Rattus norvegicus: one gene and its partners. The protein of the gene in region 6 purifies or fractionates together with the protein of the main gene of each other region. This does not show direct contact. Links are inferred from orthologs where the notes say so. Each region holds a gene or a part of one and is shown on either strand. Other genes may lie near its edges. The genes, in order: Dhx9, Atf7, Nfe2l2, Cop1, Creb5 and Jun.

Region 1 (4,666 bases), on a different chromosome or scaffold from region 6:
ACATTGTTATAGCCAGGTGATGGTGGCAAAGCCTTTATTTAATACCAGCACTCAGGAGGCAGAGGCAGAGGCAGTTGGATATCTGAGTTTAAGACCAACCTGGTATACATAGAAAAATACCCAACTGAAAATGCAAATGAAAAAGATAAAGTTTTACACTGTCAAACTTTGAATGCCAGAATTGTATATTGGTTTACTAATCAAGAGTAAGAATGGTAAACAATTATAATTTTGTTTTCCATGATTATCACTAGCATCTGAAATGAGCTATCAATAACCACCACCATTTTGCTAAAAATCACAGAATTTGTGCTCGCTTCGGCAGCACATATACTAAAAATCACAGAAGTTATCACAAAGAAAAACTAAAATCCCTCCAGCTACTCAAGTCATAAATCATTACTAACTCAGCTATTAAACGATGGTTCTCTAAGTTAGCATTTACCAGTAGAGTAAGAAAGCAAGGATTTGGGGTTAGGGATTTAGCTCAGTGGTAGAGTGCTTGCCTAGCAAGCGCAAGGCCCTGGGTTCAGTCCCCAGCTTGGGGGAAAAAAAAAAAAGCAAGCAAGGATTTGATTTCTCCTGTTAAAGGGGAAAAAGTCATGCAGAGATTACTTACATTAATATCTCTTTCATGAATTTCATCTACAATAACATGACTGATTCCTCGAATGCCTGCTTCTAGTTTTCTTAGTAGCACACCTTGGGAAAATAAAAAAACAAAAAACAATTATAAGAGTTTTGTTACAGAATCAAAGAAGCAACAAACCAAAAATTTAGCTGCAGGTTGGTGGCTCTTGCCCTCGTGGTCATCTCAAAGCAGCCAATGAAGCAAACACTAACTCTGTTTTCACACAATCCTTGCATTGTACAGGAAAGGGCTTACTTGGATAATATGCAAGTAGAAATATCATGGGTTTTGTTTATTTTTGAGACAGTTTCTCTGTATAGCTATGATTGTTCAGGAACCCACACTGTACATCAGGCTGGCCTTGAACCTGTCTCTACTTCCAGAGCTCTTGAATTGAAATGAATACCAACCAACAGTTTTTTGTTTTCTTTATAAAAAGTTGACAAACTACAAATGAAAATACACCACTGACCTACAGTACAAAACATTATACTGGCATGAGGGCGTGGAAGTATAGACTCAAACCGGACACTGTAGCCACAGCTTTTTCCAGGTTCTTCTCCTCTCTCATAAGCAACTCGCTCAGCCACCGCAACTGCACTGATCCTTCTGGGCTAAAACAGAACACAAATATGGTATGAAATTACAAAATTAGTTTTATTTGTTTAATAGTGTCTATGTGATATGGGTGATAAAACCTACATAACATGCTAGGCAAATGCTGTATCACCAAACTGAACACAGCAGTTTTCTAAAAGGGTCTGATTATATAGTCAGGTTTCATGTAGCTTAGGAACAGTGAAATGATAGAAACGATTTTCATCAAGTTTGAAATTTTAATTTTAATAAATGAAGATATAACTATATAAACACATAACCACTTTATTTTAAGAGTAAGCAATTGCGGGGTTGGGGATTTAGCTCAGTGGTAGAGCACTTGCCTAGCAATCGCAAGGCTCTGGGTTCGGTCCTCAGCTCCAGAAAAGGAAAAAAAAAAAAAATGATTAAGAGGAATGGCACAAACCTACAAAGAACTCTTTCTTACAAATGGCTGTACTTAGAGCGAGTTTGAACCAAAAGATGATTGGTTCACTTTACTTCTTCAAGGACTCACATACACAAATCTTTGAAAAAGTTAGTTGTCAACAAAATGATAGGTTTAACCACATGTACCTTGAGAATGTTAAGAGACTTTAAATTATGCTGCTAAAAATATAACTACATAGACAAGATTGATCAGCCCCTCTAACAATCTATTTAAAACTCCGATCATAACAGTTCTCACAGTCAATTCCTTCCCCTAAGATGTTCTGGCCCAACATTTTTAATGTGTTTATAAATAGTGATCTATAAATAAGCATGCTCAAGGATGTCAACCTTGTACATAATATCTAATAAGTTTCTTAATGTACTCTGCTTCCTGTGTTGATACAGAAAAGTGTTATTCAGTGATCTTACTATAAATTAATTGTTCTTTCTCATCCTTGGACTTAACTTTTGCTAACACACGCAAAACATGTCTGGCTATCTAATGTTCTTTCTGCAAACCCACATAGTCTAAGCCTAGGATGAACTCATATGTTGCTAACCAATTTCCACATTCCGTTTTAATGGCTTAACTAAGATGATAGCTTTCTGGGTTGGAGAGATGGTTTTTCTAGAGGTCCTGAGTTCAATTCCCAGCAACCACATGGTGGCTCGCAATCATCTGTAATTGTATTTAATGCTCTCTTCTCGTGTGTCTGAAAACAGCTATAGTGTACTCATATGACTAAAATAAATAAAGAAAAGATAGCTTTCTTTCCATGCTATCACTTTTAAGTTAACAATACACCTTAAAGCTGCATTCATACTTAAATGCAGAGTAACACTGCCCTACATACAAGTTTCCCGCTAAATACAAATTTGTGCACTTTAAAAATAAAGCAATTAAAGCAATGATGTATACTACTAATGTAGAAATACCCTTTGTAAATGCACACAAAATAAGGTTCATTATCCTCTTACTTGAATAAGAATCCCTACACTGCTCTGACTCTCTTGCTTCCTTCCCTTACTCCCCACTCTCCTCACACCCCCTATTTCCCGCCCAGAGCTCAGGGCCAGCCCCTACTCCTCTACTTTCTCTCTCTCTCTCTCTGCCTTTCTGTCTCTACTAACCTCTCAACTCCCCTCCTCATGCCTTAAATAAATTCTATACTATACTGTTATGTCCCTCAGGAGGAAGGGATGCCTCAACATAGGCCTGCAAACTCGCCCCTTTCACCCACACCTTACACCTTCAAAACATATCCCTGGTTTCATTTTATAAAACACAACACCTGTGAGGCCCCTTCACAGATACTTGGCATGCTCACACCGAGAGGCACATAGTTAAAAATAAGATAAATTTCATTTAAAATGTATGGAATTTTGCTGGCATGTATGCTGGTACCACATACACACACCAAACTAATTAGGGCTCAGTAGTTAAGTATACTAGCTCCAAAGACAAAGACCTACACTCAGGCAAAACAGTGTTTCTGTTTAACACTCTTGAAAGCTTACTTGGCTACATCTCAAACAATTGCCAGAACTCTATAAACCCCAAGACAAACTCATACAATGACTTACCTGAGTCACAACAATATTGCACTCAGCTGCTCTGTCATTCTGGATGAAGTCATCCAAAATGTATTGTGGAACTTGCGTGGTTTTACCACAACCAGTAGCCCCTCGGATAATCACAACTGAATTTTGACTAATGGCTTCCAGAATTTCAGCTTCAAATTTCTTCACAGGAAGCAACTCTCTCTCTTGTAACACCTGGTTCAACAAAGATAAGTCATTTAAATCATTTCCATAAAAAAGTACTGCTTTCTAACTGGTTTAGGACTTGAAATATTTCAAAGAATGAAAACATTTTTATCTAATAAAATCTATTCCCACTACAATGTTCTTAAGAATATAGCTTGTGGTCTTAATACCTCAATTTCTCCTTAAATTTTAGGTCTCCAAAAAAATAAAATGTATTATAATTACTTGCAAAAAATGTTATCACTTTACATTTGCTATAAAATATTCAAAGTATATATTTAATATTGTATAACAGTACTATCAATCATTCAGGGGTCCTGATTTAATAGCCACTATCATAGTTAGCTATAATTAACAATTATAAAAACCTGCCATTCAACCTAACAATGTATTTAAGCTCTAGACAATATATGTAAGAGATCTTCAACACTCACACTCTGTAAATTATGATCCTGTTCCATCTGGTATGCTAATTCATTCTTAAGGTCCATGCTTATTTGTTCTGTAGAAGCCTGTAAAAAGAAAGCATTCAAACAAAATCTATTCACTTCTGACCTAAAAAAAGATACAAAGGAAAATATAGAACTAATCTTAGAACCCATATTGTACTTACATAAGCAAGGGGCCCCTCATCAATGTTGCTACTTGTCCAAGGATTCCAGTTGGACTGTGGGGGTGACCAAGGAACCACTCCCACTGCATTTTGCCTCTGAGATGGTTCAAAATGAGCCAATTTCCCAATGTTGAGTATAACTGGCATAGAAGGATCAACAGGCTATTTAAAAATAAAAAGCAAAAATAAATAAAAAGACATGATCCTAAGGAAAGACTTTAAAAACAAGGTAAACTGCAAAGCTACATGCTTACTGGGGGAACAATTTCCAGATCTAGCTCTTGAACCACATTTTGCAACTGAAGCTCCAAATCTGGGGAAAGGAAAACTTTGTAAGGCTCCACCTACAAAGAAGGAGCAAAGAAAATCATGAATATACCCATGAATATAATTTAAAACTACTAATTTCACCTAAACTAACATATAGCTGACATTAGGGCTATTATTGATTGCCAGAAACCAACAACTCTCTAAGTCAGAATTTCACCAATGACTCACTCAATGGCCCCTATAAACATAAGTTCTTCATAAAGTATTGATTAGTATAATTATTTTAATTTCTTCATTACTAAGTATTGAGCTTAGAATATAGCTCAGAAGTAAAACATTGTTTGTCTGGCATTTAA
Region 2 (4,666 bases), on a different chromosome or scaffold from region 6:
AGCTATATTGTTGTTGTTGTTGTTGTTGTTGTTGTTGTTGTTATTATTATTATTATAATAAGATTTATGCTGTGTTTGACTGTATATGCTTTTAATCCTAGCACTTTGGAGGCAGAGGCAAGCATATCTCTATGAGCCAAGGCCAGCCTGATCTACATATAGAGTTCCAGGGCAGCCAGAGCCACACGTACATCCATGAACCATGTACATGCTTGGTGCCTGAGATGGCCAGAAGAGGATCTCAGACACCTAGAACTGCAGTTATAGATAGTTATGGGTGCTGGAAACTGAATGCAGGTCTTCTGCAAGAGCAGTAAATGCCCTGATCCCCTGAGCAATCTCTCCATACCCCAGCTGCATCATCTTCTTTTTTTACATTTACCACAAACCACATATCTCGCCTTTTTAAAAAATCTGTCTTACAAACTAAAATACAAGATCTTCAGGGACGCAGATCTAACCTAACTTGTTTGGTTCCTGTGACACCCAGGATGTGCCTGGCACAGAACAACAATTCGGTCAGTACTTACTTAACAAATCAACACACCTGGAAGTACACATTAACATTTAAATAAATAATTTAATAAAGATTCTTAATTTTTTTCTCAGAATCTCTGAGAAATATTTTACATCTCTGAAATGATAAAGGCAACTAGTGAAAAAATTATTTGCTATATTCAGTATTTCTATGTATTTATTTAATATGTAAAGGAAAACTAGCAATTATTAGTTTTAATTATCTATAACAAATTTTTCATTGTCATATATATTTTGTAACACTATTAATGCTGAGCACAATTTTGTAGAAATCTCTAATTACAAATTGAAACCAAGACTGGGCTATCATTGGAAAGATGAAATCTTCCCTCAAGTCCCAACTTTTCAGTTTCTAAGCAGCATCATTTGCTGCTGTTCATCTGCTCTCTAGGCCAAGACAGTCTTTGGGATTAAAAGACCTCTACCACTTTCCTACTGTTTTTTTTTTTTTTTTTTTTTTTTCCGGAGCTGGGGACCGAACCCAGGGCCTTGCGCTTCCTAGGCAAGCGCTCTACCACTGAGCTAAATCCCCAACCCCACTTTCCTACTGTTTGACTTGGATAAGTGATCTAATCTGAGTAGTTTTCTCACTTATAGATGGAATGGCTACTTCATGGGGGAACTGTGAAAACAGTATAGCACTTAAATAAAACATTCAAGAAATACTGCATGCTACTCCTTCTCTCCAGTGGTTATAGGTAACTCTGCACTACTGTCAAAGCTTTATTTTTTTATTTGAAAGAAAGTTTCATGCAGCTCAGGCTTGCCTCAAACTTTGGCTATAATTGAAGACCTTGAACTACTGATCCTCTTGCTTACTAGGATTACAGATTTAAAAAAAAAATATATATATACATATATATTTTAAGCTAAGATACTCAGTACCTGTGATTTACCAACTGACTGATTTTGCTTAGGTTATGAATCACTCACCTAGGTAGCCTTGAGTCTTTTTCTGTAGTGCAGTGACTGGGCAGTCTTTATGAGCTAACAGTAGCTGTTTCAACTGAGCCACCTCATTGCGTAGTAATGTGACTTCATTCTAAAGAGAGAGAGAAGTAAAGAGTATTAGGAAAATTCACTAAAATAAAAAAGCAATTGGGGTGTGGTGGTGCATGCCTTTAATTCTAACTGGTCCACAAACCAAGTTCCAGGACAACTAGGGCTGTTACAGAGAGAAATAAACCCTTGTCTTGAAAAACCAAAACCAAAAACTCATCTTTTATTCTTGGACTACTAATGGCTGTTGGTTATATCAAACTTATTAGAATTTTTTCTGCTATCTATAGCAAACCATTTATTGTAATATTAACTTTAGAATTGTCCTAATGTTGAGCACAGACAGAATGCTGTCTAGATTTTCCTCCCCAAATTAGGACATGATCTGGCAAGTCTTCTTAGGGCCAGGACAGTCATGAAGTCAATGACAGAAACTGCCTACAGTGAAAAGTACAGACTTATAACACGAAAAGAGAAATGACTGTTACCTGGGATAAATCTGATTATTCTGAAACTAACAATGTGAGGGCCTCTGACTAAGAAGAAAGTGTGCTTCTAGAAATCTGTTTTTGTTGTTCATTTCTTTTGACAATGTCTCGCTCTATAACCCTGGCTGACCTGGAGTTCCCGTCATAGACCAGGAACTCACAGAGAGCCTTTGCCTCCCAAGTGCTGGGATCATAGGACTGAAACACTATGCTTTTTTTTCTTTTTTTTTTTGAATTACCAAGCTTGGTCTCAGAAATCTTTTTTAATAGAACCACTTAATCAAGTGTGTGCAATGTCTTCTACAGCACTACTGTTCTAATGAACAATTACAACAGTGTTAGTGTCCACTGATCTAAAGAACCTAACACACTCAGAACGTAGAAATATACAGTAGTTTAAAAGAACAAGGTAGATCCTTCATCTCCTTCATTAGGCTTCCATGAGATACTGTTAAATCATTCATGTTTAAGCCAACTCAATCCCTCCAATTCTAACACAAAAACTAGAAATAAAAACTATTCAGAAATATGAGTCTGGCGGTTTGTACCCCATTTATCTACAGGGAAGATTATGGACTGTTACTGGGAAGGTGATGGGACTGTTCCTGGGAAAGTGATGGGACTGTTCCTGGGAAGGTGTTGGGACTGTTTTTTTTTTTTTCTTTTCTTTTCTTTTCTTTTTTTTCGGAGCTGGGGACCGAACCCAGGGCCTTAAGCGCTCTACCACTGAGCTAAATCCCCCACCCCGTAATGGGACTGTTACTGGGAAGGTAATGGACTGTTACTGGGAAGGTAATGGGACTGTTACTGGGAAGGTAAATTAAGGAACTTTGTTCTCACCCTATATGTGAGTTTGAGAGGAAAGAAATTTATTCATCTAGTACCTTTGTAATGAAATATTTAATAATTAGAAAAGTGAAGTTGCCATGAATGTGAACAAGATATACTATATACAGGTATGAAATTGTCAAAAATTGAAAAAAACAAATTTATTTTGTGTGTGTGCACATGTGCATATCACAGTGTGTGTGTGTGTGTGTGTGTGTGTGTGTGTGTGTGTGTGTGTGTGTGTGTGTGTGTATAAATCAAAGGACAAGTTGTGGGATCTGAAAATTAAATTCAGGTCATCAGTTTTAGTGGTAAGCATTTTGCCACTGAGCCATCAGTGCTGATCCCTTTTAAAATATACTTTATTTATTGTGTGTATATTATATATCATGTGCATATGTATGTACGTGGGTGGGACATACATGCCACACTGTGCATGTTTAGAGGTCAAAGGACAACTTCTCTCCTTCCACCTTGTGGATTCCAAGGGTAGAACTCAGGTTGTCAGGCTTGATGGCAGGTGACTTTACCTACTGAATCTTCTTACTGACACATAAATACTTCCAAGACAAAACAGAGTAAGGGAAAATAATATTCACAAGAAAGAACGCATGGATTTTAATTGTTCTGTTTGTGCTTATGGTTTTTTTTTTCTCTCCCTTTTTTCTTTCTTTAACCTACTTTGGTGTTTGAATAAAAATGGCCTCCATAGGCTCATAGGGCACTATTAAAAGGTGTGGCCTTGTTAGAGTAGGAATGGCTTTGTTGGAGGAAGTGTGTCCCTGAGGGCAGGTTTTGAGGTTTCAGAAGCTCAAGCCAGGTCTGGTGGCTCACAGTCTTCTTCTGCTGCCTGCCTATCCAGATGCAGAACTCTCAGTTCCTTCTCCAGAATCTGCCTGTGTGCGTCCTTATTTTCCACCATGATGATAATGGACTAAACCTCTGAAACCTGTAAGCTAGCCCTAGTTAAATGTTTTTCTTTATAAAAGTTGCTATAGTCTTTTTTTTTTTTTTTTTTTTGGTTCTTTTTTTCGGAGCTGGGGACCAAACCCAGGGCCTTGCGCTTCCTAGGCAAGCGCTCTACCACTGAGCTAAATCCCAAACCCCCAAGTTGCTATAGTCTTAATCCCAGCACTTAGAGGGCAGAGGTAGGCAGGTCTCTGTAAGTTCAAGGCCAATCTTGTCTACAGAATAAATTCCAGGGCAGCCAGGGCTATACAATGAAACCCTGTTTCAAAAACCAAAAGGCAAAAAAAGTGTTGCTGTGGTCATATTGTCTCTTCTGTTAACAGCAATAGAAACCCTAACTAAGACACGTACAATAGCTAGAGTAAATTTTTTAAATTTAATTTTGTATTTTATGTTCATTGGTGTTTTGCCTTCATGTATGTCTGTGTGAGGTGTCAGATTTTGGAGTTACAGACAGTTGTGAGCTGCCATGTGGGTGCTGGGAACTGAACCCAGGCCCTCTGGAAGAACATTTAGTACTCTTAACCGCTGAGCCATCTCTCTAGCCCAAGTAAACACATTTTTCATTAGGTGTTCTCTAATTCCTGTCAGATTCTGTGGATGATTTGACAGAGCATACCCTGGGGTTCTTAACCTGATTTGCTTCATCCAGATGGGTCTATGCCTCTACTCTCGCCTTTTCTCCAATCTTCCAACTGGTAGCATTCTGTCTGAGTTACATCCTCAAATCCCAAATGGGTCTTGTGCTAGTGGCAGATCTGGGAGGAGATAGTCTCCTTCTCAATTGCTAGGGGAGAGGTTTCAGTTCTGACTATTATGGGATGCTTTACACTTCTGGGTCTTAC
Region 3 (5,137 bases), on a different chromosome or scaffold from region 6:
TCAGCTTCAGAACCAGAGGGTAAGTCTCATATCCCACCTCAGCCTTAGCTCCTCCTCTCTAGAACTGCCCACTCCTTCTATGCTGCTTACAGCTCTTCTTCCCACCACTTCCAGCCACTGTGCCTTCTGCTCAGCCGTGGTCTGTGGAGTTGCTGTTAGCATGCGATGCTCTGAGAGCGGTCTGACCTCTGCCTTCAGATGTTGCAAGCTCCTGGAAGTTGTGATGCTTTTTACATTTGTTTGGATTTTTGACACAGGGTCTCTTTCTACATAGCTTTGGCTGTCCTGGAACTCTTTGTAGACCAGGCTGGGCACAAACTCACAGATTTGCCAGTCTCTGCGGCAGAGTTCAAAGCCAGCCTTGTCTAGAGTTCAGCTATTGAAGGTGGAAGCATTATGCCCAGCTTTCTTTTTCCTTCCTAGCCCTCTTAGAGAATGCCGCTTCAGAGAGCACAGGGAGATTATTGGTTTTGTTCTTTGTGCCACAGTACTGCACAGCAGGCATAACATTGTGAATAAACATTTTCGTTGTGACATGTACCATTTCCTTGGTACGACAATCCTAGGAACATTTAGTATGAAAAGGGTTTTGGTCTTTTTTGAGACAGGCTCTCATTATGTAGCCTTGGCTGTCTTGGAGCACAGAGATCTGCCTGCTTCTGCCTCCTGAATGTTGAGAATAAAAAGCATCTACTGCCATACATGGGTATAAAGTGCTTGTGTATTTTCCTTTTTCTTTTTTCTTTCTTTTTTTTTGGGGGGGGGGAGGGGAGCTGGGGACTGAACCCAGGGCCTTGTGTTTGCTAGGCAAGCGCTCTACCACTGAGTTAAATCCCCAACCCGCTTGTGTATTTTCAAAACCATTCTGAAAATGTAAAATAAGCAAATGTGGTAGGTGGATAACTGTCCTATGGAAAACACTACTGGGAATTAACTCAAACAATCCAGAGTAATTTAAGTCATGATATTCCTTTATTAGTGCTAGCTCCTTTTAATTTTTATCAGAGCTAAACAATTTAATATAAAAATGTCATTTCTTGTTCATACAGTATATAAAAAAGTATAGTGGTTTGGTTAGTTTTCAATAGTTTGCTTTTAGCCAGATGTCATATAAGTCTATGACTGTAACAAATGAGAACAGTATAAATAAGTTCTGTAGTATTTACACTTACACAGAAACTAGCCCAAATGGTGCCCAAGAAATTAACTTGAGAGTTAAAATGAAACTGATTCAACATTGAGACTTTAATGCTTTGTAAAGTTTCATATTATTTCTACACTAGCTTTGGCTATAATTCTGCATAGTTACTTATAAAGTGTTTCTGCATTTCACATCACAGTAGGAAGTTTTAGCCGTACAAAACAAACACTAGCTCAGAAAAGGCTCCATCCTCCCGAACCTAGTTTTTCTTTGTATCTGGCTTCTTGCTCTTGGGAACAAGGAACACGTTGCCATCTCTGGTCTGCTGCAGAGAGTACTCACTGGGAGAGTAAGGTTTCCCATCCTCATCACGTAACATGCTGAAGACTTCCAGATACAAAGTGCTGAGTTTTCTTTTCAGAAGATGGAGGTTTCTGTCGTTTTCTCCCTTTTCTCTGAGTAGTTTTTCTCTCTCGTCTTTTAAGTGGCCCAAGTCTTGCTCCAGCTCTACAATGTTTTCCAGCTTCCTTTTCCTACAGTTCTGAGCGGCAACTTTATTCTTCCCTCTCCTGCGTATATCTCGAATTAATGCAAGCTGAGCTTCGTTGAATTGCTCCTTGGACATCATTTCATTGAAGTCATCAACAGGGAGATTAATGATTTTTTCAACAGGGAATGGAATATGGAGAGCTTTTGCCCTAAGCTCATCTCTTGTGAGATGAGCCTCTAATCGGCTTGAATGTTTGTCTTTTGTGAATGGGACTTTTTGATGACCAGGACTCACAGGTACTTCTTTTTTTGTTGTATTTTCACACTGGGATTCGTGCACAGCAGCACTGTGCCCTTGAGCTGGCGACAGAGGCTGTACTGTATCCCCAGAAGAATGTGTTGGCTGTGCTTTAGGTCCATTCTGTTTGACACTTCCAGGGGCACTGTCTAGCTCTTCCATTTCCGAGTCACTGAACCCAGGCGGTGGGTCTCCGTAAATGGAAGACTCCACAGAGTGCTCTGGGGATGCTCGGCTGGGACTTGTGTTCAGCGAAATGCCGGAGTCAGAGTCATTGAACTCCACCGTGCCTTCAGTGTGCTTCTGGTTGAAAGCTTTACACAGGGACAGATCACAGCCCTCAATGGGCCCGCCCAGAAGTTCAGAGAGCGACTGACTAATGGCAGCAGAGGAAGGCATGCTGCCACCGCCACTGGGCTCTGCTAGGAAAGCAGAGTAAAATTCATCACCGAAATCTGTGTTCAAGGTGGGATTTGAGTCTAAGGAGTTCAGCTGGCTGGCATCATCCGTGGAGAGGATGCTACTAAAAGAATCCTCAAAACCATGAAGGAAATGTGGACTACAGCTGTCCACTTCTTTTTCCAGTGAGGGGATCGATGAGTAAAAATGGTAATTGCTGTCCATCTCTGTCAGTGTGGCCTCTGGGCTGGGGACAGTGGTAGTCTCAGCCTGCTGCTTGTTTTCCGTATTAAGACACTAGAAAAGAAGGTCACATTGAATGCTTTAGATCAGTTCCCCACTCCCAAATCCAAGGTCTTCTTTTCAATAATCCCGATAACTCCCATTTTCAACAGATAAGTATTTTATGGTTGTCAGAACTCTAAATTAGCTTTCAGTCTTAGAGTGAATTTGTCCTGAAATATTCAGTCTGATTAATTAAAAACTCTGTGTGTTAAGTGAGTTTGGGAAGCTCTCCTAAGTAATATAAATGCACCATCAGTTTCTTCCTTTGAGTAGGTAGCATGTCAATAATAAATAACCAGGATGACTAATTTAAAAGGCCCATAGAGGACAGCACACTCATCGAGCTCTCTCACCTGTAACTCGGGAATGGAAAATAGCTCCTGCCAAACTTGCTCCATGTCCTGCTGTATGCTGCTTAAATCAGTCATGGCCGTCTCCAGAGAGCTATCGAGTGACTGAGCCTGATCAGGGGTGGTGAAGACTGAGCTCTCAACGTGGCTGGGAATATCCAGGGCAAGCGACTGAAATGTAGGTGAAGAAACCTAAGATTGACAAGGTATTTACATGAGTGAGAGCAAAGACCTGTAGAACAGACAGCGGCAGGGGCTGCAGCTCTCAGGTTACTAATGGTTGCTTTTATAAAATGAAACATTTCTTCCCCCCCAATGTCTCCACATTTATCCACTATTATATCACTCCATGTGCTTAAAGGTAGACTTCAAAATGGATAAAAACATTCCTTACGACTTAATTTGTACCCATAATATTTAGCAAAGTGCTTCAAACAACAGATTAAGATTTTTAATCCAAGTACGGATTAATAGTTGCTCTTTACTAGACAAAATATTTTATATACCTATATCCATTTTTCCAGTTAAATTATTCTGATTCATGTTTCTAGCTATCCAGTAAAATGGACTTGTCGTTTAGTATTTAGCAGGTCTTATTTTTAAATGTTTTATAGATATCTGATACAGTTTATTTGATAATTTCTTTGATCAACTTTTTCCTTCTAAAATTTTCTTTTATTCTCTCAATTGGATACACATGAAAGGGACTAATTCCAGAAAAGACAGTTTTGCTATTAAGCAAACATTTTTATACCTCATGGTCATCTACAAATGGGAATGTCTCTGCCAAAAGCTGCATACAGTCTTCAAAGTACAAGGCATCTTGTTTGGGAATGTGGGCAACCTGGAGTAAGGGAAAGGCACAAAGGAACATCATTTGTTAAATGTTCTAAACCCAGGGGTCATGACTAGCATTAAGAGCTGTTCATAAAATAACCTATGAACTCATTTCAGAAATCAATTTGTTTTACAGATTCAAACCAGATCACTTGTGTTCAAATCATTAGTCCCTTTAATAAACTGTGCTAGGGGACCGAACCCAGGGCTCTGTGCTAGGCAATAAACTCCCTTCATTTTTGAGTGATCTAGGCAAATGATTTAACCCTTGTGAGCTTTAGTTGTTTATCAACATATAGCATGGGAATTGTACTTGACACAGCTACATCAGTTACTCATACAATTCAGGTCACGCCTGCCACAGCAGTGAACAATGCCCACTCCTCCTACCAACAGAACGTCTGCCATGGTCTCCTCCCTCCCAAGAGGATGATTCTGTAACTCACAAAGTATGCCCCATGATCTGTATTGTATCCTGATCATCGAAAGAATTCTCAAAGGAGCTCAGGTACTCAATTCATCGGGAAGCTAAGCTTGGGAACTTAATATCCTCACAAATGGCAGACCAAGAGCTCAAATCCGATGGTCTGCTTTCTCAGTCGAGTTTTCCTCAGACCCCACCAGAACCAAGTGTACCTGGGAGTAGCTGACAGATCCACTGGTGTCTGTCTGGATGTGCTGGGCTGGCTGAATTGGGAGGAATTCTCCGGTCTCTTCATCCAGTTGTAACTGAGCGAAAAAGGCCTTCTCCTGTTCCTTCTGGAGTTGCTCTTGTCTCTCCTTTTCGAGTTTTTTCTGTTTTTCCAGCTCATAATCCTTCTGTCGCTGACTAAAGTCAAACACTTCTCGACTTACCCCAAGATCTATGTCTTGCCTCCAAAGGATGTCAATCAAATCCATGTCCTATGTTTAAAACAGAAAAGGAAGGAGAAACTACGGTTAAGGTGGTCCACATGGGTTCATTCACTACATGCCATCACGGATGGGGGAGATACAAACTAACTGAACGAGTACAGATGGAGGAAGCTAGAAGACTGTTAGTCCATTCACTCAACACATACTTGCTAAAGCAACAGCATATATATAGCTACCCATTCCAATCAGTTTGGATCACTAATGACTGCAAAACAATAGAAATAGCCAAACTTATGCTTTTAAGAATTCCACGTCTCTCTCCTTTTAAAAGATTTATTATATATCCAACGTTCTGCCTGCATGTATGCCTGTAGGCAAGAAGAGGGCATCAGATCCCATTACAGATGGTTGTAAGCCACCATGTGGTTGCTGGGAATTGAACTCAGGACCTCTGGAAGAGAAGCTAGTGCTCTTAACCGCTGA
Region 4 (4,666 bases), on a different chromosome or scaffold from region 6:
AGTGAGAGAGGGTACAAAAACTATTGTTTACTAATTTAAAGAAATAAGCATTGTTAAATGACTTATGAGTGTTAATTCTAAAACTGAAAAATTTTGTATCAAAAAAGTCACTCATAGCAGAGTTCTGTGCATTAAAAAGTTGTTACTAAAACAATCTTAAACTGCACTTGAAAATATTAGCATGAAGAGAGGAAGTGAAAGTTGTAGTACTTACGAATGCCAATTTGAATAGCCCAAGCCACTGCCTGTCTATTTCCCATCTAGCATTACCCTATCAGGTGAATAGTCAAACTGACACACTTCAGGGGCCTCCAAGGATAATTGTGCTGCAAATCTACTTTGGTGGTATTCAAGATCAAACATTGGAGAAAATACGATTTACAGAATAAGAATAAAGGCAACATCATTTAAAAGTGTTGACAAAAGTTCATTTACTCTATCAGAACAGTTGAATAACAGCAAATTGCATTTTTCCATTTCTGATTTAAATTTGCACAAATTCTATATATAAGAACTCATAAATTAGATTCATGCAACCCAAACAGATTACTAAATCAAAATAATACTAGATAGGGTAAAATGAGAATCAAGCATCTGAAAGATGTCTTCTTAAAATACTACTAGCAGAAATTATTATAGTTTCTATAGTTTCTAACATACCTACCGAAATTGTGGCATATTTAGAATGACAAGAGAGCAGTGAAAAATCCTTGGCAATACTATACTATGGATACATGGCTCATACATAGAAGGAAAACTAGTGCTCCCAGCATGACTGGAGAAGAAAAGAATGCAGTCCTAGACATCAAGGCTATGATGACTGCACTGAAAACTGCCATGACATGTCTTCACAAAGTTTGTTTAAAAGTACAAGTTCACTTACCACAAGCTATATAATCTCCATTGGAAGCAAGGCCTACAAAGTTTTTTTCATTAATATGACCCTTGAAGGAACGTAGACAGTATGGTTTCCCCACATTCCACAGTTTTAGTTGGCTGTCTGTTGAGCTGAGATAAACACAAAGAGGAGTAAAGTTTAGATTTCATGGTATGAAACTATCACCACTAGTAACTAAAAAAAGCAATCTAGTTTTGAGGTTCAATATGTAGTCTGTGGTACCTACATATCTAAGTCTTGCCCTCATTGGCTCCATTGTTAACAGTGAAATATGGTATGGCATTATCTACATAATTAAATGAGCTCAACACTGTGAAAACCGAACTCGTTTAACATGCTTTCAATAGGGCCTGGGTATACAGAAAGCAATCATCAATGTCATCAATACCACTGTCCCACCACCAATAAATAATGAGACTTTGCCCTGAGAGATGTGTTTCATTTCAGGGAGACCCTCAATCTTCTCATTGTGATTTATCTTTCAACTCTTACTGGTATACTAGACATAAATTATTTCTCCCCTACAGGTGAGAGGTATTGTTGGAAACTACACGATGCAGTTTATTTTGCTGTAAATATATATATATATATATATATATATATATATATATATATATATATAGTTGCTTACCCAAAACAACTTTTTATTTTTTTGCATAAAAAACACTGGTGATTCTAATAGACAAAGGTAATTTTAGGACTGGTACTATTTTGCAAACTGCTTTCCTATACTGAATTGCTTGCTTATACTTTTGTTAAGGGAGGGACTACATAATTCAGTTTTTTTAATTAAACTGATCGTCACTGAGCAGGAAATTATGATACACATTTTACCTACTTTATTACGTTAAAGGCTAAAAACCTTAGTGCTATGATTAGCCCCATTTTGGAGATGAGAAAACTGAGGTTCAGAAGTTTATAACTGAATACTACCAAGATCCAAACTGTTTGATTTAAGCATGTCAGGTCTTTTAGAAATGTGTTTTAGGGGCTGGACATCAGAGGTTAAAGAGCAGGTCCTGAGTTCAATTCCCAACAACCACATGGTGACTCACAGCCATCTGTAATGGAACCTGATGCCCTCTTCTGGTGTGAAGACAGCATAGTCATATGCATAAAGTCGATAAATAAATCTTTAAGAAAAAAATTAAGAGAAATGTGCTTTAATCTGCTTCATTCCAGTGTTGCAATAAATGTTCTTTTATGTTTCCACTTAAAATGTGCATCATTTTTAGGTTATTTTCTGCCTATTACAGTTATCTAAAGAGAAAATATACTTTAGCTACCATTTAATTTAAGCTTATTAATTAATTATCTGCATAACTTCCTTGGAAAGCTGTTATGAGTATTTTGTGTCCTCTTTTGTCTTGCCAAATCACCAAATTCTTAGAGCAACTGGTGTGAGGGTGAAAGTAGAAAGCAGAATTCAAGGCACTGGGATAAACAATCGTCTACGGGAGATAAAGAGGCAAGGAAAAAAATAAAGAATTTCACTGTAGAGTGAAATTACATATTGTTTTACTAGATTATGAGATGGATAACCAAAATATGGAGCTTCCCATATTGTCAGAAAAGTTCTGTAGTTTGACAATAGGTTACTTTACATCACTGACATTTAATACTTAAAAAAAAAAAAAGGAACTAAAAGGTTTTACAAGGGACATTTGCTGGATGTAAGCAGACACACTTAAAAAGATCTCTTTAATATAGATTTTACTTAGAAACTGGTTTAGGTTATTATAAAAAGCAAGAAGTCATTTAAAATCAACAATCATTCTACTACATTGAAAGTACATTTATGTAGTAACATATAGTTGACTTTAACCAAATAAATTATTTTTCTTTCTATTGCACCAAACATGTTGGTTAATTCTTCACAGGTAATAACAAAAATAAAATTTGAGGTTCAAATGTTAATTAAATTACACACATAACTTAAGAGAGCTTAACAAAGAGTAATACTTTATTTTATTCACAAATAATATAAAAATGAACAAAGCAAATAAGATACATGTACTTCAATAGAAACCACGCAAATCTATTGCTATCTGAGAAAGTAATCTGGGGAACTTCTCTGCATAAACTACAGCATCAATGAGCAAACCTCTGCATCACGCTCGCCCTCCAAGGAGAATACTCACGCAGAGACAATTTCTTCACCACTCACAAACTTGGCATAAGACACTGCTTTTCGGTGCCCCTTGAACACCATTATTGGCTGTTTAGTGTTACGAAGATCGTAGTAGTGGACACAGTGATCTAAAATAAAATTAAAAGATAAATGGAGCGCATGAAAAAAGGGAGATAAAACATTTTAACTAGATTAGGTATTTTCACCAGAGCAATGGGGTTGGCTGAATAAGGGAGATTATCTTCACAAAGAAACATTATTTGGAAGCATTGTTTATAAAAACTACCCTCAGAAGAGGAAAGGAATCCAGGAGAGATCACAGTATCTTGCTTTAATCCAAGAGAAGCAAGTACATTTAAAATACAAAGACAACAACAGAAAGGAGTAAGAGAAACCACTAAGGGTAGAGAGAAGAAAGAAGAACTAGCTGCAGGCGTAAAGCTTAGAGCCTAGTACCAGTACAGTACATGAAGATGCGATCCACCATCTTACATAGCCTCAAGTTCACCCCCCAAGCCAATGCTCACGCAATAAAGCTATGGGTGAAACTGCTCTGGTATCAGTGAGCTGCCTCTACCACCTCTCCCCTGAACCTGGGTAGCACAATGCTAAGCAGTGCCCTGATGCTAAAGAAAACCACATCAACAGGCCATTGAAACCCAGGGTCAGTTAGATCCTAAGAGCTTTTTTATCATGGAGAAAACTACATTCTGAACTCACCTTGGTGCTAGGGGGCGAAGAAAGCTGTGGCTAGAGTAAAAAGAATTTGTATTCTGGCCAGCATCACGCGAAGCTGGCTTAGGTGTCTAAGGCTCCGAGTATACCAATATCAGAGCAGCAAACAGGCCACATCACCATGGTCCTATGTCTAGTCTCTGTGTTGTGCCGGTTTTAACAGATTGTGTGCTCTAAGGATGACTCAGACAAAGATGTCTGTCACTGAACCCAATGGCTTGCAGAATATGGACAAAGCCATTATCACTAGAGATGAAAGGAAGTAATAGTCAAATTGCTATATAGGAACATGGGGTCTAGTTTGTCCATGATCATCGTAGAGGGAAAAAAATCAGTGTCTTCCAAGAGGCTTCCAAGAGTGATGAACCACACTTTCCAGGTACCCTAACTCTTGAATAGTATATATACAGGTTGGGGGTGGAAATCTCTATTTTGGGGGAATCTGTATAGTATTTAAATAGCACTCAGAAAAAAATAATACCTTATTTAAAATATCTGGAAGGATAAATACAATGCCAGATGATAAATCTTTAATCCTTTCATGCAAAGACACTATTGGGTGTGAATATACACCAAAACCATTCAAGGAATGATCATCTAACCAAAATGAATATAAGTTGTCAAAGAGAGATGACAAAGGGTTGGTAGGTATGAATATTCAGAGAGAGGGTCTTAAATAGCTGTGAGCAGGCAATTAAAGAACAAAACAATCAAATTAACAATAATACTTAAAGACATAAATACATTCTATCTATTGGAATGAGGGTTTTTATACCCTTAAAGCTAATCCTAACTTAAACTATAGAAAATTAAAGATATCCCATGCAAATGGAATTTTCAAAAAGAAACTAAACAGTAATTTAGTACTTACATAAGAGACTTAAAATCATATTATCAAAATG
Region 5 (5,187 bases), on a different chromosome or scaffold from region 6:
GAAATGTGACAGTTTGGGCAAAGCATTACGATTCCTAGCCAGTCTAGTCACGATCCTCTGGCAGACTGCACAGTCACGGCTGTGATGCATGGGGGTGAGAGGCACTATATAAATGTCAGATGTTACATAAATGTCAGGAACCGTTATTGTTTGTTAATGGGGGCTAAACTGTTCCTAAGCAAAGATCCAACTTCCAGCTAGCAAGTTCTTAGTTCTAACCAGTCAGCCACCAGAAGAGAATTAACATCCTTGACTCTACCAAGGAACCCAGGTGGGCACTGGGGTTAGACATGAGCTACAGTGTTCTCCCTGCTGATCTCGAGAGCGCCTAGCCTTCTGGCGTCTGCCTCAGCTCAGCTGTGAAACAGGGTAATTACAACACTGTCCCCACTTTTCCTCATCGTGCCAAGGTCTTATGAGGAAGAAGAAAACGGTGTGACTTCAAGTGTTTAGCAAAGTGTGAGTTGTTGCAGGATGACAGTGGTCATTTTGAACAGGCTTTCAATGTTCCCCAAAGGGAGCTTCCAACCCAAAAACCTAGCCCTTGGTAGGAGTGAGGAAGGTGAGAGCAGTGGCGTCTGGCCCATGCTGAAAAAGGTCAGTCCTTCTTTCCCCGCTGCAGACCTGGCCCTATATCCCATATTCTAGCCCTGGCTGCTTCCCAGCCGGTGAGCTTGGGCCAGTAGCAGAGGCTCTAGAAGCAATGGCCAGGGCCCTTCCGGCGCTGACGCGGAGTCTAAATCCGGCTCATCCTTTGGCTCTTGGCTGAGATTCACCTTTCCCCTTTAGAAAGATTCTTTCACAGGTCTGCACACGCACGGTGCGGGACTAGGGAAGACTGTGTGCTGTGTGCTGTGTGTAGTCCTACTCAGTGTACACAAGAAGTTATGTCCTTGAGAGTGATGAGGAGAGGGGCGGCGAAATGTAGACGTAATGCTGAGAAGCCAGCACGCAGAGAACACTGCAATGAGGTCATGGCTGTCGCAGGCAACGGATCTGGGTATCTTCGGGGGCTGATGTAGGGAAGTAGGCAGAGTCCTGCATTTGTAAGTGCAAAGGTCTCCCTTTACCTCCTTCAACGTCCTAACCACCTCTCTTGCTCACACCCCAAACCTTACTTCTTTCTGACCCTACAGGCACTCCTTGCAGGAGCGCTCGTGCCCCTGTCTCCTGCATGGTTCTGTTTGAAACCTTCAGGATTGTTTCCAAGCTGACTCACACCACTAATGTCGGGGGAGCCGTGTTACTCGGCGCTGGGCTGTGCAAGCTGTTGCTTGCGCGATCGCGGGCGCCGCTGCCGCAAGCACCCGGGTCCGCTCGAGGGGCGGGGTCTGGGCGGGGCGGAGACGGGCACGCCCCCTCGGCCTGCGGGCCCCGCCCCTCTCTCCCTCCTTCCCCAACGGACCGCAATGATTTAGAAGTTCAGGAATCCCACGTGACGTCACCGGGGGGGTGATGTAATGCACTCTAAATAGAATGTATTGTAATCTTTGCTCAGTCCAACGTGGTCCCTTCACCCGGGCTCGGCTCTTGCCTTCTCCACACTTGTTTGGTAAGTTCCTAAAAATACGGCGCGGCTACTTCTGGGGCTTTTGCATTTAGCCACTTTCGCTGCACTTGCCGCGCCAGCCGACTCGGAAGCGTCCTTGTTTGCAGGGGTTGGTTCATCGCTGCAGCCGCGAGGTTACTTGGTCCAATGGGCAGGTCACAGGGCAAGGAGTAGAAAGGATGCGATGCATTTTTTTTTCTTGATTTGTGTTTATAAACACTTTGGCGGATCAGAGGGAAGCCCGGCCCCAATTGCTGGTGGACTGTGGAGTTGTGCTGTGTCCTGTAGTCACCCAGAGACCCCACGCCGTGTCCGTCCCGGAGCGCGTCTCGGTGGTTGCTGCGCCGTGCGATTGGAGGGATGCTGAGTGGAGCCAGCGCCGTGTCCGACCCAGTGTGCGTGCGTGTTTGGGAGCGCGCGTGAGTTTCCCTGACACGGGGAACAGTCATGAATCGGGGGTGTATGTTTGCCTCCAGAGCCCATGGCAAGGTGCGGAACCCTCCAGAAGTGTGGTCAAGCGGCGGTGGTGGTGGCGGCGGCGGCGGAGGCGGCAGTGGTAGCAGCAGCAGCAACAGAGACCAGGAACCAGGAGCCTCCTCACATCCCGTTTCTCAATGATGCAGCGGAACCCCGGGAGAAAGTTTGCAAACTTCCACCATTTCGGCCAAGACGCCTGGTCACCTAGGGGCGGCCGGGCGAGTTTGCAGGGGGCTCTCTCTCCCACCGGTGCCCAGCGGCCGCTGCCATCTCTCGAGACCCGCTACCGGCTGCAGCTGGTGGGCGCGCGCCCCGGGAGGGACAGCTGCCCTTGGAGGGGACTTGACTTTCGCTCCAGGCGCTCCAGCTTGAGAGTGCTCCAGAGCCCTCGCCTTCACTCCTGAGCCGCCTTCCGCCTCCGTCCCCTTTGCGCTGGCACTCTTACTTCTTCCGGGCTGCCGCCCCAAATGACAGCTGGGGCCCGAGCCGCACTGCACCCAGGCGGTTCTCAGTACCGGGCGACAGAGCCTGCCTTTGAGCCAGCTTCTCCATCAACCGCTTAAACTTTTCACAAAGTTCTTAAAGGGTTGAGACAGACACCGCCCCCACTCCGCCACTTTAGAGGGACCATAGCCCGCTTTAGTTTTTCATTTATTTATTAGTTAGAGATTTACTTCCAGAGGGGTGTCTAGTAGAAAAAGCCCCAACTTTCCCTGAACGAGTGCCGTCCCCACTTGATGCTGGTTCAAAGCTGGGAACTGGAGCGGGCTGCTTGTACATCGTTGTCAGTGACTGCAAAGCTTGTTTGGTTTTTTATTTTTCCCTCTTCCTGACATGTGTCAAAGAATAAAGGCTGGCTACAGGTCCATTACGTCATTCTGCAGGCTAGTAAGTGTTTGATTAAGGGCTTCAGATATTCAAGGGTTCTGGGGCTCAGAATGCTGACAAAGCAACTCTGCTCCCCTCCTCCCCGGAGCAATTGCGGGTTCCCTGGACACAGCTATTGCCCTCTCTTTCCCGACCCCTCCTCCTCCATCCTTCTCCCGCCCACCTCGTTATCACTTGGCCTGCCCCCCGCCGTTTACAGTTTTCCCCTAGGGGGAATGCTGTCCCAGGAGTGAGCTGAAGAGCTTCTGGTGCCTGAGCGAGCTCAGTACCTGATGAGCGCTCAATCCGCTCCTTCCTATTATTTAAGAAAGGGACTATCCGGGCCCTCTTTTCCCACGCGAGAATGCTCAGTCTGGATAGAAAACCCCTAGAAAGGTTTAGAAGCCTTATACGCTAATAGCGTGTGCCTGCCGTGACTTAGGAAAGCAATATGCCCACAGTTAAGAGCCCAGAGCCCGATGAGTTGATGAACTCCGTAGTCCTGGGAGAGGGATGAAGGACTTGACTAAGTCAGGTTTAGCGGAAAGGATCTATATTAGACATTTAATTTCCAGAGTCAGGGACGCGTCTGATAACTGAAAGTACCTTATAACACCTTACTGCTACGCGCAGTAGTTTCTTATTCTTGCGTTTCTATGTTTGCAGAGGAAGTTAAACGCCCAATTTACAGAACTGAGTTCTTCCCCACTTGCTCTTTAAAAGAACACTAGTAGCAAAAACACCACTATATGCGACTTGATTAGGGGACAAAGTGTGAAAACTTTTGGGGTGAGTGAATAATGATAGCTGAAATCAAGTGAAAACAAACACAGGCAGAAGCTTTTGACTGGAGAATAAGGTGTTTGAAGGCTCTTTGATTTGGGCACGGAGGAGGCTAAGTAAAGGAAATTTTATATTCTAAATAGGCAGCATTCTTGAAGAACACGTGTTTGGTTATAATTAGATCTACTTTCTCCAACATACTCTGGCCCTAGAGCAGGCTTTGTGGAGCTTGTGACTGGAGATTGCTTGACACCCCTTCCTCAAGTTTGTGGCAGTATTATTTACTGGCATCTAGCGATGAAATGGTATAGTCCCCCTATGCGAAGCACAGGCATTGAAAATGTTAAAATTCTTGTTTGTGATGCAGAAACCTAAAGGGAAAATGGCCAGGTCACCAGGCCCTGGAGAGTGTGATTAATGATCAGTGATTTAGTGATCAGTGATTAGTGGTTTTATTCAAACTGTTACCTCTGACCAGAAGCACACATCAGAGGATTAACAGGCTCTTTAGATAAATGCTCATTAGTGGAAGGGGAAAAGCAAAGATAATAGGCGTGCACCCAGGGACAACTTTCGAAGACAATCATTCCTGTCTTCACAATAATAAGCTCTATTAACAGAAAGCCCTTTTAATTTAAAACTTGCTTTTATCTTGTAAATCAAAGTTAGATGTAAAAGTTTGTAGTGCCATTATAACCTAGATTTTCCCATATCCAGGAGATGTGGATTATCCCAGTAGCGATATTTTTTTTATTTAAACAAACAATTGGAGCTTTAGAGTGACTGGACCCTGACAAGCTTAGCTCCCAGGGCTGGAAGGTGTCCCCCCTTCAGGCTTGGAGACTGCGCTTTGCTAACTAGATGGCGCACTGTTATTTGGTGTCCTGTGCTGCAGAGCACATGGGCAGAAGCTGAGCATGTAGCTGCTTGCGAGGGAGGTTGTTCTTCAGCACAACAAAGTTCATTCTGTGTAGGATTGGAGGCTAGACGGTTCTACAAGTTTTTAGTCACATTTTCCGTGTCAGTTAAATCTAGGGAGTTGAAGGCTACTGGAAAAATTAGTCTCATTACTAACAGTAACTTAAAGAAGGAGGGAGGGGAAAAGGTACCAGAGTCTATGAGATAGGTCTGAGTTGCAGAGGGAGGGGAGAAGGTACCAGAGTCTATGAGATAGGTCTGAGTTGCAGAGGGAGGGGAGAAGGTACCAGAGTCTATGAGGTAGGTCTGAGTTGCAGAGTGACTGCTAGGTGCCAGGCCTCCTCTCTCTTTAGCTCAGAGCTGGTCCACAGTCTTCTGGCCTGAAAGACTGAGCCAAGTACTCAAAGACGTGTTTCCTTTCTGATCTTGCTGGTTAAAAGAAGTTACAAGAGAGGAGGGCAATTTCTGATCTGGAGACGGCAGGAGGCAACACGGTGCGGTTTTACACTCCCAGCTATGGTAAGAGCATGCTCATGTTTGTGAAGCAGAGACAGCCCTCACATCAGTCCAGGTCAGTCTCATACTGTCACAGA
Region 6 (5,199 bases):
GCTTGATAATCACAGCAGCTCATGGGGATGAGAAGGGAGCAGGCAAAAATGATTCCCTCGTTGAATACAAACCTGTTGATAACCTCAGCTGTATCTGAGACACGATTCAGGTTTTCTGTCTCCCCGGAGCTGAGGTTTGGATCACAGATGTGCTATATAGTCATTTCTCTTGTGACTCCGCTCCATAGTATATATACTAGGAACTTCCCAGACTACCTCAATAATTAAGCCAGATTGATTATTTTGAAACAAATTAAAAATTAAATAAGGACTCACTACACTGGTCACTTCCTTGGTAGGAGCGAGAGGTGGGGGGATGGGGAGGGTGCCAAGTGGGAATTGGGAGAGGGTTGGGAGAAGAGTCACCCAGGTTCCAGATCCTCCTTTGACTCTTCCTAAATGCTTGGCTTCTAAATTGCAAAGTGTAGAATGCACTAATTCCCCCAGAAACTTGGAAAATCTTCAGTGTGCGGCTTAGGAAACAAAGATTAGCAACGGAAAAGGAATTCAAGATTTTTAAAACCATTATTTGAATACATTTATTGTGATACGAACTATTATAAATATGCACAAGCAAAGGTCATCTTTTTCTAGGAGTCGTCAGAATCCAAGTTGGAAGGAGACACCTTTTGTAAAACCTTCCATGGGTCCCTGCTTTGAGATAAACATCTAATTGCTGAAGTCTTTATTATTATTATAAACGATCACAGCGCATGCTACTTGATATGGCTCTCAACTCAAGCGTCTGCTTTCCCAGTGGGCTGTCCCTCTCCCCTTGCAACACCCTCTTCTTCCAGCCTTAAGAAACACTGCACCATCTTCTGGTCAACAGTCTGGACTTGTGGGTTGCTGGGGAGAGAGAGAGTATGAGCCAATGATAGCATGCAGGGTGTCTATTCCTACAACCAGACGGGAGGGACTACAGGCTCTCACCCCAGCATACAGACACTCAGCTGTCATTTCACCTAGCTCTCATTATCTATCGATAATGCAGCAGAGAGGTTGGGGGCTACTTCTCAATGGTTTATTGTGTTTTCTTAAATATCCTTTCTGAAAATTTTCAGAAACAAAACATAAAAAAATTATATACTTTATTACAAATGGTAAACTCAGAATGCTTCAAATCTCTTATTTACAAACACTGGGTAGGACACCCAAACAAACAAACATGGAATAACTTACAAAGGCAGGAAGCTGTTTATTATAGACAGTAATCAGCTTTCATCAAATTAAAAAAAAATATATGTACATACATAGTTGAGAGAGGCAGGCCAGGGGAGTTCATCCGCAATCTAGCCTGGTACTCACAAGCCTCCCTCCCCTTCCCAGCCCTCCCTGCTTTGTGTTCTTACGGAGCACTACAGAAGCAATCTACAGTCTCTATTGCAGTTTGTAAGCCCCCACCCACCCCCCTTAATACTGAATGAGATCGAATGTTAGGTCCATGCAGTTCTTGGTCAATGTTAACGAAAAGTCCATCGTTCTGGTCGCGCGGGCACAGCCCGTTCGCAAAGCGTGGCGGCCAACAGGCCGCTGCTCTCTGGCTCCTCGCCAAAGCCAGGCGCGCCACGTCCTTCCCACTCCAGCACACTGGGGGCGCCGTCAGGTCGCAACCCAGTCCATCTTGTGTACCCTTGGCTTCAGTACTCGGACACTTTTTTTTCTCTGTCGCAACCAGTCAAGTTCTCAAGTTTATCTCTGTTATTTTTTTCTTCCACTGCCCCTCAGCCCTGACAGTCTGTCCTCAAAACGTTTGCAACTGCTGCGTTAGCATGAGTTGGCACCCACTGTTAACGTGGTTCATGACTTTCTGTTTAAGCTGTGCCACCTGTTCCCTGAGCATGTTGGCCGTGGACGCCAGCTCGGAGTTTTGCGCTTTCAAGGTTTTCACTTTTTCCTCTAGCCGGGCGATCCGCTCCAGCTTCCTTTTCCGGCACTTGGAGGCAGCGATGCGGTTCCTCATGCGCTTCCTCTCCGCCTTGATCCGCTCCTGAGACTCCATGTCGATGGGGGACAAGGGCGGCGTCTCTCCCGGCATCTCCGGCACCGTCTGCGGCTCTTCCTTCAGCGCCTGCAGCCGCGGGTGCTGCACCGGGATCTGTTGGGGCAAGTGGTGCGGCGGCTGAGGCGGCTGCTGCTGCTGCTGGGGCTGCGATGGAAAGGCCAGCCCGGTCGCGCCATAGGAGGGCGCCCCACCGCCGCTGCTCAGCGCACCCGGGTTGAAGTTGCTGAGGTTGGCGTAGACCGGAGGCTCACTGTGCAGGCTGGCGCTGTAGCCGCCGCCGCCGCCAGCGCCAGCTACTGAGGCCACAGCGGGAGCGACCATGCCCGCCCCACTGACAGGTTGTGCCGCGGAGGTGACACTGGGCAGCGTATTCTGGCTATGCAGTTCAGCTAGGGCGCGCACGAAGCCTTCGGCGAAGCCCTCCTGCTCGTCGGTCACGTTCTTGGGGCACAAGAACTGAGTGGGGGTCGGTGTAGTGGTGATGTGCCCATTGCTGGACTGGATGATCAGGCGCTCCAGCTCCGGCGACGCCAGCTTGAGCAGCCCGACGTCGGGCGACGTGAGAAGGTCCGAGTTCTTGGCTCGGAGGTGCGGCTTCAGATTGCCCACCGGGTCGGCCAGGTTCAAGGTCATGCTCTGCTTCAGAATCTTAGGGTTACTGTAGCCGTAGGCGCCACTCTCGGACTGGAGGAACGAGGCGTTGAGGGCATCGTCGTAGAAGGTCGTTTCCATCTTTGCAGTCATAGAACAGTCGGTCACTTCACGCGGGGTTAGCCTGGGCTGTGCGCAGAAGTTTCGGGGCCGCAACAGCGCGCCGGGAAGCGGGGGATACCCGCGCGTCCCCGCTTCAGTAACAAAGTTTGTTTAGGAGCGTGCGCTCCAGACCGCAGTGCTCCCCCCTGCGCCCTCCTCCCCAGTTCGCTCCAGGGAGCGCAGGGTTAAGACACCGCTTGCACTCACGTTGGTTGGCTCCCGCGCGATCCGGAGCTTTGAAAAGTCGCGGTCACTCACGGAGCGCTCTCGGGAAGCAGCGGTTCCTCGGAGCCCGCGGACCAGCCCCAGCGACAGAGGTTCTCCGGCGGCGCAGACCAGTCGTCACGGAATTCTTGGTGGAAGCCCGCGATCGGGCTCTGCCGCCCGGCCTCCGACAACTGTCCCCTCCTCCGCTGTGAGGGGGAGGGGGACGCTAGGCAGCCGCGGCTAGCACTCGCCCAACTTCAGCCGCCTGTGCGAGCTGGTATGAGTATAGGTTCCTCTTCTCCCTTTTCTTTACGGTCTCGGTGGCAGCCTTAGGCGCAGAAGAGGTTTTGCAAAAGTTCGCTCCGGGCCACTTGTTCCCGGTCCTCTGGGTCAGGAAAGTTGCTGGCCGGTAGCCGCTCGCCTATTTCCTCGCGCGGTCCGGAGCCGTTCTCGATGCTGTCAGCAGTGCCGGGACTTGTGAGCTTCTTCTCCGGGAAAAGCGGGAGAAGGGACTCTCCAAGTGCTCCCCAAAACACCGGTGCAGGAGCTGCGGGCGCTGGATCCAGGCAGTTGGTCAGAAAATGAAGACAAACAGATGAACAGCCCGGAGTCCGCGGACGACCAGGTTAGCCGAGTCCGTCCGTCTGTCTGTCTGCCTGAGCGCTCTCCAGCTAGGCAGTCTCTGCCACACTCAGTGCAACTCTGAGTCCTTATCCAGCCTGAGCTCAACACTTATCTGCTACCAGTCAATCCCTAAAAATAGCCCATGATGTCACCCCAAGGCCTTCCCATTGGCTTGCGTCGCTCTCAAGGGGGCGGGCCCACCCGTCGCCATGGAGACCTCACCCTAGAAGATTCTTCTCTGGGCCCGCGAAGGCTCACGGGATGAGGTAATGCTCCGCTGCGCTCCTACAGTTGGGCCCTTCTTTCTCCACCTCCCTCCCCCTCCCGCGCGTTGCTCCGGCTTGTGTTCCCGGGTTCCCTCCCCGGCGCGTCTTTCCCGGCCCGCCCGGTGCATTGTGGGCTGACGTCTTGGTTTGGCTGTCTAGTGACGGAGGCTGCCGGGTCCGCTGGACCCTTGCGGAGTCTGTCGGAGGCGGGCTCAAGTTCAGGGCTGGGGACCCAGACCGAGACGCGGGGATCCAGAAAGCTGGGGAGACGCGCTGGTGGCCTGGGGCGGAGGGCTTGGGTGGGAGTAGAGGTTACACACACACACACACACACACACACACACACACACACACACACACACACACACACGAACACACGAACACACCCGTGAAAGGGCTGAATGATCTGGGCGATTGAAGCTGGCTCCGCACCCCCGCACTTCCGGGAGACAGAGCGACGCGGGTTAATATGGTTGTGTTCGCCCCGGGTGCGGGAGCGGCAAGTGGGTTGAAGTTGAGCGGGTTTGAGAGTGGCCCTCCCACGCCGAGTGCGCATGGAAGTTTAGTTTCGGAGAAGGATCTGCGCCGCAGTGTGCTGTGCTGGAAACCAGAGATTTGCTGTGCTCGGAATGAATTCACCAGGGTCCCCGGCACAACACTTCATTTTCTGGGGACGTGCCGGGAGGGGTTCGCTTTACCTCGGAGGGACCCCCTTCTAGGTGTGAAAGATGCCACCCCGGCTCCTTGGGGTATGGAAAGCAACATATAAAGGTTCGAAACTCAGGAAACCCCAGCGCTCGCCTGCACTAGCACATACACACAGCCCCGCGCACACTCAGTTCGCGCCCGCCCTTCCTCCCTCCCTGATTTGCTTCTGGGAAAACAAGCCTTGAGAGCTGCGGACTCGCCCCGAGTCACGGTGCTTAAGCAGGAGTCCCTGGTAGAAAGACTGAAAAATCCCCTCCCCGCTCGATGGTGGATTCATATCCTGTGCGGCCTCTAGGAAGCGCTAGACACATGTAAGTTGTTTCTTTTCTAAGGTTCTGCTATCCGCCCTCCACCCTCTACCCCTTAAGACTGACTAAAGAGGTGGCGAGCTTGGTTCTCCCAGGGCAAAAGTGCAAATCTCAGAACTTTCTGAACTTTATTGGTCTCATCTAGAAGTAGAGTGGATGAGGTCCATCCACTACATCGGGCTGCTAGGCATTAGTCTTGACTCTGAGACTAGAAGGTGGTCAATTGGTGCCCCTTTCCCTACCAGCTTCGGAGTTACCCCAGGCCTTCGGTGGGGTGGGGTGAGGGTGGGACGATTTGGAGGATACTGGGTTGTGATTTGGCAGGAGC

The links.
Region 1: the proteins of Jun (region 6) and Dhx9 purify together in Homo sapiens (affinity purification with mass spectrometry; 3 studies listed by BioGRID and IntAct, with this or other methods). This does not show direct contact. The link is inferred for Rattus norvegicus from reciprocal best matches to the Homo sapiens genes JUN and DHX9.
Region 2: the proteins of Jun (region 6) and Atf7 purify together in Homo sapiens (affinity purification with mass spectrometry; 3 studies listed by BioGRID and IntAct, with this or other methods). This does not show direct contact. The link is inferred for Rattus norvegicus from reciprocal best matches to the Homo sapiens genes JUN and ATF7.
Region 3: the proteins of Jun (region 6) and Nfe2l2 purify together in Homo sapiens (affinity purification with western blotting; 4 studies listed by BioGRID and IntAct, with this or other methods). This does not show direct contact. The link is inferred for Rattus norvegicus from reciprocal best matches to the Homo sapiens genes JUN and NFE2L2.
Region 4: the proteins of Jun (region 6) and Cop1 purify together in Homo sapiens (affinity purification with western blotting; 9 studies listed by BioGRID and IntAct, counting the BioPlex papers as one, with this or other methods). This does not show direct contact. The link is inferred for Rattus norvegicus from reciprocal best matches to the Homo sapiens genes JUN and COP1.
Region 5: the proteins of Jun (region 6) and Creb5 purify together in Homo sapiens (affinity purification with mass spectrometry; 5 studies listed by BioGRID and IntAct, counting the BioPlex papers as one, with this or other methods). This does not show direct contact. The link is inferred for Rattus norvegicus from reciprocal best matches to the Homo sapiens genes JUN and CREB5.

The regions. Positions count from the first base shown.
Region 1 is NC_086031.1:68,168,376-68,173,041, forward strand, and holds part of Dhx9 (ATP-dependent RNA helicase A), read right to left. Parts: intron 4,385-4,666; coding exon 4,295-4,384; intron 4,203-4,294; coding exon 4,041-4,202; intron 3,940-4,040; coding exon 3,862-3,939; intron 3,437-3,861; coding exon 3,245-3,436; intron 1,246-3,244; coding exon 1,104-1,245; intron 703-1,103; coding exon 620-702; intron 1-619. UniProt on the Homo sapiens protein: Multifunctional ATP-dependent nucleic acid helicase that unwinds DNA and RNA in a 3' to 5' direction and that plays important roles in many processes, such as DNA replication, transcriptional activation, post-transcriptional RNA regulation, mRNA translation and RNA-mediated gene silencing.
Region 2 is NC_086025.1:135,545,419-135,550,084, forward strand, and holds part of Atf7 (cyclic AMP-dependent transcription factor ATF-7), read right to left. Parts: intron 1,580-4,666; coding exon 1,471-1,579; intron 1-1,470. UniProt on the Homo sapiens protein: Stress-responsive chromatin regulator that plays a role in various biological processes including innate immunological memory, adipocyte differentiation or telomerase regulation.
Region 3 is NC_086021.1:81,000,579-81,005,715, forward strand, and holds the end of Nfe2l2 (nuclear factor erythroid 2-related factor 2), read right to left. Parts: intron 4,703-5,137; coding exon 4,436-4,702; intron 3,807-4,435; coding exon 3,717-3,806; intron 3,155-3,716; coding exon 2,966-3,154; intron 2,625-2,965; coding exon 1,401-2,624; 3' UTR 951-1,400; downstream 1-950.
Region 4 is NC_086031.1:74,066,315-74,070,980, reverse strand, and holds part of Cop1 (E3 ubiquitin-protein ligase COP1), read right to left. Parts: intron 3,158-4,666; coding exon 3,040-3,157; intron 1,009-3,039; coding exon 884-1,008; intron 1-883. UniProt on the Homo sapiens protein: E3 ubiquitin-protein ligase that mediates ubiquitination and subsequent proteasomal degradation of target proteins.
Region 5 is NC_086022.1:83,722,316-83,727,502, forward strand, and holds the start of Creb5 (cyclic AMP-responsive element-binding protein 5), read left to right. Parts: upstream 1-1,909; 5' UTR 1,910-1,968; intron 1,969-2,025; exon of another isoform or gene 2,026-2,124; 5' UTR 2,125-2,163; coding exon 2,164-2,325; exon of another isoform or gene 2,326-5,110; coding exon of another isoform or gene 5,111-5,113; intron 5,114-5,187. UniProt on the Homo sapiens protein: Binds to the cAMP response element and activates transcription.
Region 6 is NC_086023.1:115,009,387-115,014,585, forward strand, and holds Jun (transcription factor Jun), read right to left. Parts: upstream 3,608-5,199; 5' UTR 2,750-3,607; coding exon 1,745-2,749; 3' UTR 514-1,744; downstream 1-513. UniProt on the Homo sapiens protein: Transcription factor that recognizes and binds to the AP-1 consensus motif 5'-TGA[GC]TCA-3'.